Drosophila melanogaster: one gene and its partners. The protein of the gene in region 3 interacts with the protein of the main gene of each other region in a pairwise test. Each region holds a gene or a part of one and is shown on either strand. Other genes may lie near its edges.

Region 1 (5,100 bases), 7.7 Mb from region 3:
GGAATAACCGTCATCGATGTTGTGGAGGGCACAGCCATGGAGGCACTAGCCAGCATGCAGAGCTTTCTGCGCTCCCGTCCAAAGTATTTCCAGAGTATTCCGAATGCTATCGAGTGGTGCATCCGAAGCGGCCAAGTGCGCAATGTGGACAGCGCCAAAGTGTCCATGCCGGGACAGATAATAAAGTGAGTAGGATTGTCGTAAACGACAGAAAAGTAATAATAAATCAATCCCACGCAGTTGTACAACGAACAAACTGGCAACGAATGATCTGCCATTACCAGATGATGTATTGGAGGAGGCCCACCACAACAGTATGTTTCCCAATCCGTTTAGCATTTCGGAGGATGAAGAATCGTCACCGCCGGGCGATGACGCCGCCGATGGCTCCTCAGAAAGTGCCGCAGCTGGCGCGGATTTCAAGAAGCCCAACACGACCAAATCGACAACCGAAGCGGCCAAAAAGTACGTAGTCCAATTTATTTTATTTTAGTTAAAACACAAATTATTCATTGATTGCTTCTCAGTTACACCTGGCGCATTGATCTGTCCAAGTCGGAGAAGTACTGGGTGGGCTGGTTTTCGGGGCTGAGCGATAAGTTCCTTAACTTGCGCCTGCCCAAGCAACTACTCCTCGCCAGCATCGATGGACTGGACCGCACCCTGACTGTTGGCCAGATGCAGGGTCGCTTCCAGATGCAGGTCTTGGCCCGCTGCGGTCACGCCGTGCACGAGGACCGTCCACACGAGGTGGCTGAGGTGATTAGCGGCTACTTGATCCGGAATCGGTTTGCAGAAGCAGCCAGCGAATTTCGTTGCCACATGCCGTCGTGCTAAACACAACCACCCCCTGAATCCGAGGTTGAGCACAAACTGAGGTCACAAAAGTCTATTTTTGAATGGAGGTGCATTACTCTTTGAACTTACAGATGCGTGCATATATATATATATATACAAAATGTAGTGCGTAGGTCCAGATATATACAGCCGTATATTCTATATACACATAAACTAATAATCCAGTAATTTATTCGGTACTTTTAATTAAACCACTTGAATTTTCAACATTGTACTTTATACTCATTTTGCCAAAAATCTAAGGTCTAAAGTGCTTGCGTTTGGGCTTCTTGCATTGTTATAATGAGTGTGTATTAAATATGTGCCAGATCAAATGAAAATTTAACGAAATCCAAATTATACGAATGCGAATAAGTTGAATAAAGCTATTTATTAATCGAGTGTTACCATAAATTCCCATTAAATTCAAATGAATCTTGGAATTTATTTATTTGGTTTACTCGTCGTCTCAATCATGAAATCATGAAACTTTAAAAACAGGATAACACATTTAGTCCACGAAACGGAAGCCGCCATTGGACTTCATCTTCATCTTGGACTCCAGCGCCTGAATGCGACGCAGACGTTCGGCAATCTGATCTCGAATCTCTGGACGATACTTCTTACCCTGGCCCATGGACTCCATTTCCGTCAACCACTCAGCACGCTCGTTGATTTGGTCCAAAACTGTAGGAGCATGCCAACTCAATGTATAATTCCGCTTTATTCCGCTTAAGAAATATTCCAACTTACGCTCGTTTATGAGATCCTCCTCCGTCACCAGTTGCTCTTCGCGAGGACGACGTCGCGGCTTGATCGCCGGATCGGGCAAATGAGTGCCGGCCATGGTGAACTGCAGCTGCGACTTGGCCTTCTCTCCATGCATTCGGTTGTCGGCGGGCGGGCGGTAATAGCTCTGCTTGTAAGCTCCGCTCGCCTCGATCTGCCGCAGATTCTTACGCTTGGCATTGCGTGCCCGATCCAAAATGGCCAGTGTTTCCTTGTCCGGATCGTTGTTGGTATTGGGACGCGGCGGTTCGGGCAATGGCAATGGCTCCCCATTGCGCAGGCTCTCATCGATCTGCTTGCGTACCAACATCGACATCTTGGACTCCTTGACAAGCACTAACAAGGGAGGTTATAACGAAGCGGAAAATGTACACGATTATCTTTATGGATGGTCCTCTTATCCTCTTATTCCTTAGATATTTGGCATGCCCAAAACGCACTTACATCGGATCAGATCAGCTGTCTCCTTGCTATATTGCACCTTGGCCGAGTGGAAGGCTCCAGCACCGCCAGGAGGAATGCGTTCACTGGGCCACATGGGCAGCTTCTGCGAACCGGGCTGTCCGCCATCCGCATCCGGTTCGTGGTGGGCCATCAGACCACCGGGCAATGCCTTGATCTGCACGTTGTTGAAGCGATGTCGGCTCATTCTGTAAAGCTAATAATTTTTGCTCCGGAAAAGTAAGGCTTGTATATACTATAGAAAATCGCTTCGATAATTTCGTTTGGTGTGTTTGAAGGCTAGCCTCGGTATGAAGTTGTTTTTCGCCGGACAACAAAAGTGGAGACGCATGGCAACCTGGGTTGTTAGGTAAACAGCATGGGTATTTTTAAATCTCGAAATAATTTATTGAAAATAAATATATGTAGGTATTGTATGTGTGTATATGTGTGGGTAGGTACACGCTTGGTTTATGCTCGCATTATGATAATTTTGCGAACATTTAACTGACTTATGCACATTCGTCTACGAGTAGTTGCACTTTTACAATAAACCATTTAGTTTGTGGATCGTTTTGAACTCGCTAAAGTTTGACAATTAGGTTTCGATTATCTTTGTATCCCAACTGGCCGTACAATAGGTTTTTATTATTAAATAAAAGCATCTGCGATTTACAGTGTTGCGGTTGTTGTAAACAAACAAATCTTGGAAATATCGACGAGAAATTAGAAAACAAAAACATTTCCAACCAAGATTTTTACACATGCATTTGTTCGTTTTTATACATTTACAATTAGACTACACGTTTTTACGCTCTTAAGGTAAATATTTTTTGGCTGCCTTCTTTTTTCCAGCTTGGCCCATCGTCGTTTTTTGTTTGAACCTAAGCTTAGCGACATACATTTGTATATATAAATATATATAATTTTTAAAAAAACAACTAAAACATAACATATCGAGTGATTGGCTTGCCATTTACATTATAAACAATTGACTAAAGCAAACATAATAGTAATAGTAGAGATAATCTAATCAATGACAATGGTGATCATGATCGGTATGCAATACATGGATTTGGCTTACGCTTAAATATGCAAAATACAATATGTGGTTCCGATTCTCAAACACAAACAGTGAAACATTGAAACTCTTTTCTGTTAAAGTTTAGTCTAGTGGTAGTTTCCGCCGTTGCGATTTCCTCTGGTGCAGTTACGGTTCAGCAAATATGTTCCTTTTAATTTAAAATAAATTATGTGTACGTGTATATATAAACATATTCATTATGTGACTACTACTTCATTCAGCAAGCCTAGTTTTGATTCGCGCAAACAATTATCAGCTCTCGTTTCTCAATTCTCACTTTTCAATTCCCTCTCCATCCAGCTTTCTTCCTTCTAGTTTTTATAGTTGCGAAAAGTAATCTTAGTCAGTCTCATGGTCACGATGCAGAGTTCATTTTATAATTTTTTACTAGATAAACCATTTTTCGTCGTCGTTCAGATCGGGGTATTTCTTTCATTTGGCGACGTTGTTGATAGTGAATGAAATAGTTGATGTTGTGATTGGGGTTTAGAATAGCGTAAAATGTTGATCAAATTTGGCCAAATTTTCCTAGGTAGAGAGAAGTTACTGTATTCTGTTGTTGCGATCTGTGTGTGTGTGTGTTGTGGGGCTTGGCTTGTTAGTTTAACTACATAAATGGCGACAACATTTACGAAACCTATACATTAATAACATTGACAGTAAGATGCCACGCCCCCGCTGACAACCGACATGGGATTACCGTCGGGGAGTGCAGCATGGGCTCCACAAGTTCATCGGCCAGCCGTTGGTCCTGCGAGCCCGAGTCAATTGATCATATCTTTGGGGGCGCCTTGGCATACAGTTAATAAACTTAACATTAAAACAAACTATCGTCTTACTAACTAAAAACGATTACAGAACGGGATGTGAAAGGAGACGCAGGGTGGACAACTTGACGCGACACAAAAATAGACACGAATCTTAAATATCTAAATATAAAAACATTTATGTTCGTTATGAAATCAAACATCAAACACGGCTCAAAGCTAAATGAACACAAAAACAGCTGGCAGCCTCAAATCTAACGCCATTACATGATGATTTCAAAACCCAGATAGCCCTGAATCTTGCTCAGTTCATTGCCTGTTCAGTCATTTGGCGACACAACGTCTCCAGCTGTTCTAGGCTCTTAAAGTCGTTCATCTTGTACTCGGTGACGTGGGGCGACATGCCCAGGCTGCCCAACGGTGACTGGGACAGGCAATGGTCTACGCCATGATTGTTGTTCTTGCTGCTTTGGTGACAGATATTGTGGACACAGGCACCACCACCACCATTGGAGCACAGACAGCTGCCACTGCCCACGGCGGCAGCAGCTGCTGCCAAAAGTTGCAACTGTTGCTGGTTAATCAAATTGTTGTTCAGCATGCTGTTGTTATTATTGTTGTTGATCAGGATCTGGGGCTGATCGTGCTGGTCCTGATTCTGGTTTGGATTACTAACCATCACAACAGCGGCCATGGTCTTCTTTGGTTGTTGCTCCGCACTGGACACTCCTCCGCTAAGTTTTCTCTGCTGCTGCTGCTGCTGCGACTGCTGATTGCGTTCCAATACCAGGTTGTCGTTAGATCCGTTGTTGGTGAGCACTCCCTGACCGGGCTTAAAGATCAATTGCTGCGGTTGCTGCGGACCTCCGGCCACCAGAATAAGATTATTCAGCGACCGGCGATGCGATTGTGGTGGCGTCTGCTGAGGCAGCGCTGGAAAGTGGTTGTGTTGCTGCAACATCTGTTGCATCTGCTGGGGATGATGATGCGACTTACTAGACGGCGGCGGTGGTGGCTGCTGCTGAGGATTACCCATGAAGCTTGGGTACGAGGAGCTCTTGTACTGCGGCTGATGGGATGGACCGCCGCCATAGCCGTTGTAGTCAAACTGTGGCAGAGGCGGCGGAGCCTGCTGCGAATGATGGGGCAGCGGGTGTGGCAGGCAATTTAGCGAAAAGTTTA
Region 2 (5,463 bases), on a different chromosome or scaffold from region 3:
CAGAACCGTTAGCTTTTAACGTATAACTAAGCTTTCGTACTAATTACCGGATCTGGAATTGTTGCAGGAGATGGTGTTTTGCAACACTAATCCCAGGGTCTAAATGATTAAGTGAACTTATTTTTAGAGATTTCAAATCAGTTATCAAGATTAAATCTTAAGAACAAAACCTTACATTTTTGCAATTTTACTACGTTTTTACTATATAAAAAGGGATGTAAAAAATTCTTGAGGCTAAAAAAGAGTTTAAAAATAAAAAAACTATTGAAAAACAACATTTTTAGCAAAAAAGAGCGTTGCCAGATGCAATATGTGAAATTATATGCAATGGTCACTCTGTGACAACTCGACGATAACAACGTATCTGGTATCGATGTACGATAGGCACCGATAAGTTTACACAAATAAGCCAACTCAGCCGAAAAGAATTCGGTTTTTCCATCTAATTCAATAATATTTACGAAAATGAGCCGACAGCAGAATGAGGAGGACACCAACTCGGTGCTATTCGATGCCCGCAACGAGTACTACATCGGTAACTTCATGGGCTCGATCAACTTCGTGCTGCCGGAGCAGGGTACCGCGGGTCCGGAGCTCCTGTCCTACATGTACCTATCTTACTTGGCCATCGATTCCGGGCGCATCGTGGCCTCGGACATCAAGGAGGGAAACTCCACGCCACTGCAGGCCTTGCGTCTGGTGCACGAAGCCTTTGAGCAGCCTTCGAGGACGGAGGAGCTGCTGGAGAAACTCACGGACAAGGTGGCCGGAGAGGAGGATGAGACCAACATCTGGCACCTTGCAACCGCCATCGTCTACTGCCACGACGGGCAGTTCGAGAACGCACTGAAGATCCTGCACGGCTCCACCAATCTGGAGTCGATGGCTCTGTCGGTCCAGTGCCTGCTGCGTCTGCAGCGCGTGGACCTGGCCAAGCAGCTGGTGGCCAAGATGCAGGAGATCAGCGACGATGCTACGCTGACTCAGCTCGCTCAGGCGTGGGTGGCCCTCGCCCAGGGAACGGAACAGATGCAGGACGCCTTTCACATCTACCAGGAGTTCTGTGAAAAGTTCAAGCCAACTCCGGCGCTGCTGAACGGCCAAGCGGTCGTTCATTTGGGTCTGGAGCGGTACGAGGAGGCAGATTCCGTTCTGCGTGAATCTCTGCTGAAGAAGCACAACGACTACGACACGCTGATCAATCTGATGGTTCATGCCCATCTTACGGGCAAGCCGACAGAGGCGATCACCCGGAATCTAGAACAGCTGAGGCAGTTCTATCCCAAGAGCGACTTTGTCACCGATCTAGACAAGAAGTCAGCGGAGTTCGACCGCCTGTGCCTGCAGTACGACGTCGAGGGCGGTGAAAAACTGCTCGCCGTCTAGATATAAGAAAAAATTCCAAATATCCAAATTAACAAAACCTTTTGTTCATGTATTAAACTACAATAAAAATTTATTAGAAATGTATTGAGGTAGCGGAGAGCAGATTAATAGCTGTAAAGATAATACAAAGTATTAGGGTGGATTTTTTATGTTTGACTGCTGTGCTGGGTACTCACTTCTGTTTGAAGCCATATTTCTTGCGTTCGTAGAACAGGTCAGTCTTGGAGCTGCCTAGATTTACAATCTTGGGGCATCCGTCGCGCTATAAGAACCAAAATGGACAATAATACCACAGAATGCACCAGAATGCATGACTTGCGAACTCACGTCCTTTTCCTGAATGGTGCAGGACTTGCAGTAGTAGGCATCCGACACTCCGGGTCCTCCACAGATGACGCACCTGCCCTGGTAGGATCCGTAGTTGCACTCGTCGCAGATCCGCACCAGTGTGCATGGCCGCACGTAGGAGTCGCAGATCACACACTTTCCATCGTCTTTTTCACACAGGCGTCCAATGGCTGCCGCATGAGATGGCGAGAGATTTCGAATTATTGGATTGTCTGGGATTTTCAACGGGTTTTTTTGAGAACTCACCCACGCCGGGCTGCTTGCGGCAGAAAATCAAATCCGGATGATGTTTGGCCATGATTTAATATTAGTTTTCAGTCAGCAAATATAAAAACAGTTGCTGAAAAAGCGGCGACTTCTTTATAGTGTGACCTTTACACACTCTCGCTTTCAGGGTTGCCAAGTGGTCAGCATTATCATGTAGGGCATTCATTAAACTCTATGATGGCTTGAATAAAGAAAAAATTAATTTTTTTTTAAAAATATTATTTACCACATTTGATAATACAATATAGATACAAATAATATTTTTTAACAATTAACTGAAATTAAATAACTTTCAAAAGCAACTGGCAGCCCTACACCATGCAGTTTGGCCATTCACAGCGACTAGTAAACAACAACAGCTGTTCGCATTCTCGAATTTTATTTTCTGTATTCGCATTAAGCTTTGGTCCAAAATATTGCAAAAACACTCCCACGATGCAACAGATCAGCTAGGTAGTTGTGTGGTACTTAGGGCAGCAAGCAGGACTTGAGAAAGGACACCAGCAAAATGTCGCAGACAGCATCCACAACGCAAAGTGTAACCGCTGCACCGGCGGGTGGCAGCAGACGCAATGAAGTGGGCGGCGTGGGCGTCATCGGGACCACCATGTCGGCTAGATATGGAGAAACAGAATGGGAGGCTCGGGAGGTGCGTATCGGAGTGTGATGCTTTATATCATTTCCCATAAACTCCCATTTTCTATTCAGTCCCAGCGGCAGAGGGAACTGCACGAAGCTCGAGCACGGGCGGCGCAGATGGAGAAAACCATGAAGTGGTGGTAAGTGGAGCAGCTCGTCGTGCTCAAAACTATCTGCTAATCCAAACATCAACCATTCCCAGGTCCGACTGCACTGCCAACTGGCGGGAGAAGTGGAGTAAGGTAATTTGGTTGCCATGGCTTTAAAGTTGGGTCAATATCGCCGGTATCCAATAACAAAACTTTTCACTTTTCGCAGGTCCGCAACGAGCGGAATAAGGCCAGAGAGGAGTCCAAGCAGCTGAGCCTCAAACTGGACGGCGTCATGAAGGAGGCCCACTCGCTGAAGCGGGAGAAGAACGATCTCGAGTTGCAGATCACGCAGCTAAAGAAGGAGATGGAGAAAGTGCACACGCTGATGATGAAGCACGCCGGTCAGTTCCATCGAGCCGACACCAGCGAGGATGCGGAGGCCAACGGACGGGATGCCAACTGCTCGCCGGATATCTCCTCGGATGGCTTAAAGAATATCAATAGCGAGGACGGCTTGGTTACCAAGCTGCCCAATGATGTCAAGGATCTAGACATTGAGGAGTTCGCTATGAAGGGGGCTATGCCCAAACATCTGACCGAGTTGGACGAAGCGGCGGCTGCCGAGGAGAAGCGCCTGATTCAGCAATTGTCAAAGGATGACTTTGACGAAGACTACTTGCTGCAAAAGATATCCATGCTGCAATTGCGCCTCGACGAGGCTCAGAAAACTCTTCAAGCGGAAAGGGAGTGAGTAATCTCTATTCCAATAATAATACTTTAATTATTTCTATTATTTTCGCAGCGAAAAGCTGGAGCTGCACAAGAGCATTGAGAAACTGACGCTGGAGATCCAGGACGTGCGCGGACGTCAAGAGGAGATGCGCTCGGCCAAGCAGGAGGCAGTGCGTGAACTATTAACTCTTCAAGAACAACATCGTGCTGAGATGCGTATCGTGAATAACTCGCTGCAGGAGGAGATTGCTGCCCGTGAGAATCTCGAGCGCCGGTAAGCAAATACGCATTCTGTACTTTGACAAGAGTGTAACTATCGATTCATTGCAGCCTCACGGAGCTTCGCACTGAACTGGAGCACCTTCAGGCGGAGAACGCCTCCGAATGGGGCAAGCGCGAGCGACTGGAGTCCGAGAAATTGGCCATGGAGCGTGACAACAAGAAACTGCGCGCAGAACTGCGAGATTATCAGGAACGTTCGGACCGTAAGTGCCGACCCATGCAAGCTAATGACGTGGAGCTGCGAGCATTGCAGCAGGAACTTTCGGAGCGCAACAAGGAGATCAGCGAGGTGAAGATGTCGCACGCCAAGCTAAAGAAGTTGCTGGCCGAAACAAACACAGAGCTGGGACACGCCGTGCGGCGAGCCGAGCAGTATGAGGCGGAGGTGAGTAAATCCACATCCAAAAATCTTATCAGATGATATATGGATCAGATTACGCGTATCAGCTTATCAGCCTAGGAAAACTTAAAGATGTAACAGCCTTCCTCGCCGAACCGAATTCGGTTTGATTAACATTTATTCACATTGACACTTCGACATAAAACAAATTGGTAAATGCAGTACTTTATGATTTTCGAAACAAGTACATTAGTTAGCAAATGCCGCCAGTCCGGTGATGGCTCGGCCCAGGATCAACGCGTGTATATCGTGCGTGCCCTCATAGGTGTTAACTGACTCCAGGTTGATTACATGGCGGATCACATGATATTCGTCGCTGATTCCGTTTGCACCCAGCATGTCCCTCATTTGGCGCGCTATATCAAGCGATTTGCCAGTATTGTTTCGCTTTAGAAGGGAAATCATGTCGGGCGTGTGCAGCTTCTGATCCTTGAGGCGACCCACATGCAGGCAAGCCTGCAGACCCAACGCAATCTCTGTGATGGCATCGGCCAGCTTCTTTTGGATCAACTGATTTGCAGCCAAAGGACGACCGAATTGTTTGCGATCCAGTGTATACTGGCGAGCAATCTCCACGCAGGTTTCAGCTGCTCCCAGGGCTCCCCACGCGATTCCATAGCGAGCGTTGTTCAGACAGCTGAAGGGTCCACTAAAGCCGGCCACATTGGGTAGCAACTGCTCCTCTGGCACACGGACCTCGTCCATCAGGATCATACCCGTGGGCGAAGCACGCAGAGAGAACTTGCCCTCGATCTTTGGCGTCTCCAAACCCTTGCCGGATATCTTGCGATCCACCAGGAAGCCGCGTACCTTGCCATCCTCGCATTTTGCCCATACGACTATGACGTCTGCGATGGGCGCACTAGTAATCCACGTCTTAGATCCGTTCAGGATGTATGTCTTGCTTTTGCTATCGTACTTGGCACGGGTCTCCATGCCAGCGGGGTCACTACCGTGGTTGGGTTCAGTTAGGCCAAAGGCACCTGAATAAATATGTAAAGAAATTGAGATTCGTTTAAAGAGAACACATATAAACTACGGGACTTTATATAATTCACTCAATATTTCATTAAAATATGATTTTATTCATTTGGCACTCACCAATCAGCTTGCCCTCCGCCATGCTGGGCAAATAGCGTTGCTTCTGCTCCTCGGATCCAAAGTCGTAGATGGCGCCCATGGCCAGCGAGCTCTGGACACTGACAGCAGACCGATAAGCGGAGTCCACGCGCTCCACCTCGCGGGTGAGCAAGCCGTAGGCAACGCTAGAGACTCCGGCGCAGCCGTATCCCTTAATGGTGCAGCCGAGGACACCCA
Region 3 (5,463 bases):
AAACGGCAACTAAAACTAATTTAATATGTGATTGCAGGATCGTTTTTCTATGGCAAGTCAAGCTATATATAATGTATTATTAACTTAACTTACAAGACACTCACACACACACACACACACACACATGCATAGCTATAGACAGCAATTAATAACAATTATATAGGCATAATGCAATTGGAAATGCTTCGAGTGGAAAGAAATCACCTAACAAATACTTGAATTAATCTAATCTTATCCTGAAATAGAAGCAGCGCCAAAGGCTTCGTTTTGTGAACGTGTTACAAATCAAATAAAAATTTATGAAAATTTAAAACTCATTGTTTTCGGTACTTCAGAATCAATGATGTGCATTGCAATGCCATGCAAGTTTAATAACATTCCAGTTACATATAAATATGTATATGGCATGACTTCTCGTCCAGTTTTTTTAGCATTGCAAAGAACATAAAAACTAATCAAAATAAAAATCGTGGTTTTGTTCATCTTCATTATTGAATGGAAGTCTCGCTCGTGCTTTTATCTGCATTTTTGCTACGATCGCTCAATCCCTTTTCGCGAGCTCCAAGTACAGTTTCAAGGATAATGGTCTTCGTACTGTTGATGGTGTCCTCGAAAAATTTGGCATCTGCGTTCTTCTCCTCGGTGATATACTCCAGCTTCTCTGTCAGCATTGTGATTTTTTCCTTGGCCAGTTCAAGACTGAAAATATAAGTAGTTATAGTTGATTAAGCGATGGGATTGCCGTGTCCGAACTTACTTATTCTTTAGATCCTCTATTCTGGGCTCAGGCTGTCCTGCCGAATTCAGCGTATTTGTGGACTGGTACTGGGACTGATTTTCGAAGCAGAAGGAACCAATCGATCCGTTAAGAGAAGTGCGACTCAGCGAACTGGCGTAGTCGGCCATTCGCTGGGTGCGTTTCTTCTTATCGGACTGCACATCGAGTTCCTTCTCCAGGTCCCTGATCTTGACCTCCAGTCGGCTGATACGGGCCTTTAACTTGCCAATCTGCTCCTGAGCTGCTTCGTTCTTGGCTCTCTCCGTCTCCAGACGATCTCCTAGAGTTTTGGTGAGCAACATAAGCTGATTTTTCTCCACCTCTAGAGCATCCAGGATGCCCACAAATTCCTCCTGCGGAATATAATTAAGCAAATTAATAGCTTATGTTTTAGTGTACAGAGTTTTACCTTTCGAAACTCGCGGCAGGAGAAGAGGAATCCGCCGGATAGGGCGCGCAGGTCCATTTCCAGCTTCTTGATCATATCCTGCAGACTGGCCATGGCCACATCCTTCTGCTTGACCACCGTCTGCAGCTCCAGATGCATACCGCTCAGCTCTTCCATTTGCCGGCGCGAAAGATCTCGCTCCTCGGTCACCCGGACCAGCTCGCCGCGCATGTCGTCCAAACGGTTCTCGTACTGAATCCTCTGCTGGTTCAGTTTGTCATTCATGGTATTGATATTGGTGCCATTGAAGTCGGTCTGCTCCTCCAGCTCATTGTATAGAATCTTGTACTTGTTCATCTCCTCGTTCAGATTCTTGTTCCTCACCTTTAGGGCGAGTGTCTTGCTGCGTTGATCCTCCAGTTGGTTTTGCAGGCTAAGAATCTCCTTTTCCAGAGCCTCCACCTTGGCTCGATGAAGAATCTCACTTTTACGCACACCCGGTGTAAAGCGATCGAAGCTGGCCGTTGTGGCTCCGCCGCCATCGCCTCCACCTAATCTCTCAGAGCTGGCATGATGTGATCGACAGCTGCCGGTTACCAACTCCAGATCCGAACCCAACGGCACTGGGGCAGCATATTCGGCTCGATCTACGGCTCGGTCCTCGTAGAAATCCAAGCGAGCCTTGAGCTCGTGCACTTTCTGGTTGAGCGCGATGATCTGCTGAGCACGACCGCGCCAATTGGCCTGATTAAGATTGTTGGCCAGGATGTTGATGTTGCAGCTCTCACCGATCTCGTGCTGCAGGCACTTTTGGGCCAGTTTCAGTTGGCTTTGTAGCTCGGTGTTCCTGTTTCGCGTTTCGAAGAGCTTCTGCTGCATACTGTTGATCTTGGCTTGGAGCTCATCGGGGGAGCAGCCCTTTTTTGGCAGATCCTGATTATGCTGCAGCTTCTCCTCGTGCGCACGCAGCTCCTTCTCCAGCTTCTCGATCTGAGCATCCTTTTTACCCAGCCGACTCTTTGCCTGCTCCAATTCGGAACGCATCTGGCGGTTCTTCTTGCTCAGTTCCAGGATTTTGGTGCTGGCAATGGAGGAGTTGCAGCGCAGCTCATCAATGGGCACGGAGTTGAGCACCTCGTTGAGCGAATCAACCGATTTCTTCAGGTCGGATATCTCCTGATTCTTCTCATGAATGGCCTGGGCCAGTGACTGCTTCTCCTGCTCGCATTCGGATAGCTTTTTGCGCAGCTTTTTGGACTCCGGCTTTGTTGGCTTTGGTTTTACCACAGCGGTGGTCAGCACCACATGGGCAGCGGCCATGGCATCATGGTCATGCCGACGTCGAGAGGAACGGCCCACTTTGCACCCCAACAGCTCCTGATCCCGATGGGCTACATACTCTTCCGGCAAAGTCTCCATCGCAATGCCCTCTAGTTGTTCACATAAAAATATACACAATTGAATCTAACAATTTCGTTGGCTGGGCGAAAATAATTTGTACGTGTGCCTGTTCTTGTTACTAAAATATTCACAAATTTTGGTTGTCATCAGTTGTTTCTAGGTTATTCAAATTTAAACCTCATTTGAAACAGACAAATCAAAGGCAAGGCAATTTTTAAATTTGGAACTCTTGTCATAATCAGGATTTCTTCAATAATAGGTAAGTTAAAAATAAACAGAGTTTCTGCAATAATAAAATTGACATTGACAATTCTTTTCTTGATCTTTCCAAACTGTTGTTTTATTTAAGACAGGATAATTTACATTTAAACCGTTATTCTTTTTTTACATTTACATTATTTTATTTTAAATACCCCAGCAAAGTACGGCCAACGTCAAGCAAGCCAGCCCCCCATGTGTTTCAAATTATAATTTAAAATATAATAATAAAACAACGATAACGGCTTAGCTAAAATTCAAAAATTTTAACAGTTTTTCTAGATAGTTTTAACTGTATCTAGCTATTTATTTTGTGACTCGAGTTGGCAGTACTGTTTAGTTGGTATAATTTAGCGGTCGCAATATGGTCATACTAAAGTGACGTGTAAGACACGAAAACAAGTGAAGATGGACGGATTTATGATGGTAAATTGCAAAATACACAAGTAACTGGCTTAAAATCAAACCCAACATGTGCTGCAGGATATCATCAAGGGCATGTGCATCATGGACAACGATGGCAACCGCATCCTGGCCAAGTACTACGACAAGAACATCCTGTCCACGTTGAAGGAGCAGAAGGCCTTCGAAAAGAATCTGTTCAATAAGACGCACCGCTCCAACACGGAGATCATTATGCTGGACGGACTCACCTGCGTGTACAAGAGCAACGTGGACCTCTTCTTCTACGTGATGGGCAACGCCTACGAGAACGAGCTCATCCTGCTGTCCGTGCTCAACTGCCTCTACGATTCCATTAGCCTGATCCTCAAGAAGAACGTTGAGAAGCGCCTGGTGCTGGAAAACCTGGAGATCATCATGCTGGCATTTGACGAGATCTGCGACGGAGGGTGTGTATTAGCGTATACAGTGATGGATGGAAAGAACAAGGGACCAAGTTAAAGCAGCTTTCATTAGCAGCAGTTCGTTTAGAAAACATCAAATTATTACTACACAAGTTCCCATAAATAACATTGTTATTTACTAGTCTATGAGTTAGGCCAGCTCAAGTGAAGCCTCTAAGTAGTTAACCGCATTTAAAGCTTCCTTTTTTTTAACAAAACCTAGTCAAGTCCAATGAAAAGTTATATGATAACTGCGATGTTAGGGTATAGGTACAAAAGTTTAATTATATAAATCAAACTAAATATTAAAATATATTAAACTTAAAGATTAAACTAATACATACGAGCACTGGCATCCTAGGCATGCAGCTCGTATAAGTTTTTAAGTTTATAGGCTGAGCTTTAGAAATCACCTGAGGTACAAAAAGATATACTTTGCCATTCATCACTGTATATTATGCATTACATATTATTAAATACAAATATTCTATTTAAACCTTTACCCGTTTTCCAAATAGCATTATTCTGGATGCGGATCCCTCGTCGGTGGTGAAACGCGTTGATCTGCGCAACGATGACATTCCCATTGCCGAACAGACCGTTGCCCAGGTAACTAACACCCTTAATGGTCTATTTTGGTAGTCTAACTACTTGGTAGCTCTTCTAAGTGTTTATAACTCAATGGTAGCCGTTTGTACTTTAATTTTGTCTGGTTTCGTTTCGCAATTTGATACCCTGCAGTCAAATATATTCTCATTTAGTTTTACCCGCCCTATGAACAAATAATTAGGCTCTTTGTTTTTCAAGACTATATGTAGTTAGTAACTGAGTTAATATAAGTTTACAAGCTTTACACATTTGCCTAGATTTATTTGTTATTCGCATTTTTGTTTAATTACGATCTATTTTCAGTTTCAACAAAAGTGTTTAAATGTTGTAAAATTGTACCTATTTTAATGAATGCTTCCAGATAATATTACTTATTACAATTTAAAGTAGTTGTGTCGGCGTAAATTTCTTTTTACCTTTTGTACATGTTACCGAATTTCGATTACTTTTCCCCATATCGCCCCATTCATTGTACTCCGAGAATGTTCAAAATAAAATTGGTGAAAATGTTCTGGAACTTCGCGCTCATTTTGATTTGTTTCATTAGCTAATTGATCGAAATTATTGCCGAGTATCTGTATCTATATATGTGTGTGCTATCTATCTTTTAGGTTCTGCAATCGGCACGTGAACAACTCAAATGGTCCATTCTGAAGTGATGTGAAATGGGGTGGCGGAAGAGAGGAAGCCACTTCCGTGCCGCGTTGTCGCAATACATTCGATTCTTCTTTTAGCGCCCACTTGTTTTCGCCTAGTTGTAAAGCATATAATAATACATACATTTAACTGGAGAGCACTGCATGTTTTAATTTAGCATTAAACTACTAACTCGGTGTGTCATAGAGTAGCCAAAGGCACCGACGGGCGATTGGAGCTGCCAAGTTCCGTTTGCGCCACTATAAATCTTTTGTGCGTGGTATGCAATCGAGTTCTTAGATAAGGGAAATCACCTGAATAAACAAGGACTGTATTTAGGCAAATCTAATAAAAGCTTTGAAGACTTTCCAGACTAATACTGAATGTATTAAAGAGTATTCCCAGGTTCGTTGCTATCGAGCTGCTATGGCTTATCGCAGAACTTTATGGTGTTACTGAAGTCCACAATAATTCTTATTTTGCTTAATCGATGAAGTAGCGCAAGTAGCCATATAATGCCAGAACTGACCCATTCAACGCAACGCAGA

Evidence for each region.
Region 1: the proteins of CG13032 (region 3) and CG5280 interact in a two-hybrid assay, tested with the Drosophila melanogaster proteins (one large-scale study listed by BioGRID).
Region 2: the proteins of CG13032 (region 3) and CG31638 interact in a two-hybrid assay, tested with the Drosophila melanogaster proteins (one large-scale study listed by BioGRID).

Annotation. Positions count from the first base shown.
Region 1 is NT_037436.4:8,987,859-8,992,958, forward strand, and holds CG5280 (uncharacterized protein), read right to left. Parts: upstream 2,371-5,100; 5' UTR 2,276-2,370; coding exon 2,071-2,275; intron 1,963-2,070; coding exon 1,591-1,962; intron 1,525-1,590; coding exon 1,349-1,524; 3' UTR 1,211-1,348; downstream 1-1,210. Other genes in the region: CG5068 (uncharacterized protein), read left to right, coding at 1-185, 241-465, 528-837; smg (smaug), read right to left, coding at 4,223-5,100.
Region 2 is NT_033779.5:6,488,726-6,494,188, forward strand, and holds the start of CG31638 (uncharacterized protein), read left to right. Parts: upstream 1-2,335; 5' UTR 2,336-2,509; coding exon 2,510-2,650; intron 2,651-2,709; coding exon 2,710-2,780; intron 2,781-2,842; coding exon 2,843-2,882; intron 2,883-2,958; coding exon 2,959-3,479; intron 3,480-3,534; coding exon 3,535-3,738; intron 3,739-3,794; coding exon 3,795-4,131; intron 4,132-4,248; exon of another isoform or gene 4,249-4,335; coding exon of another isoform or gene 4,336-5,129; intron 5,130-5,247; coding exon of another isoform or gene 5,248-5,463. Other genes in the region: epsilonCOP (coat protein (coatomer) epsilon), read left to right, coding at 466-1,386; Phf5a (PHD finger protein 5a), read right to left, coding at 1,491-1,497, 1,563-1,648, 1,714-1,904, 1,981-2,032; CG9547 (uncharacterized protein), read right to left, coding at 4,336-5,129, 5,248-5,463.
Region 3 is NT_037436.4:16,671,270-16,676,732, reverse strand, and holds CG13032 (uncharacterized protein), read right to left. Parts: upstream 2,770-5,463; 5' UTR 2,586-2,769; coding exon 1,188-2,585; intron 1,132-1,187; coding exon 758-1,131; intron 700-757; coding exon 489-699; 3' UTR 469-488; downstream 1-468. Other genes in the region: zetaCOP (coat protein (coatomer) zeta), read left to right, coding at 3,234-3,251, 3,309-3,676, 4,189-4,279, 4,891-4,938.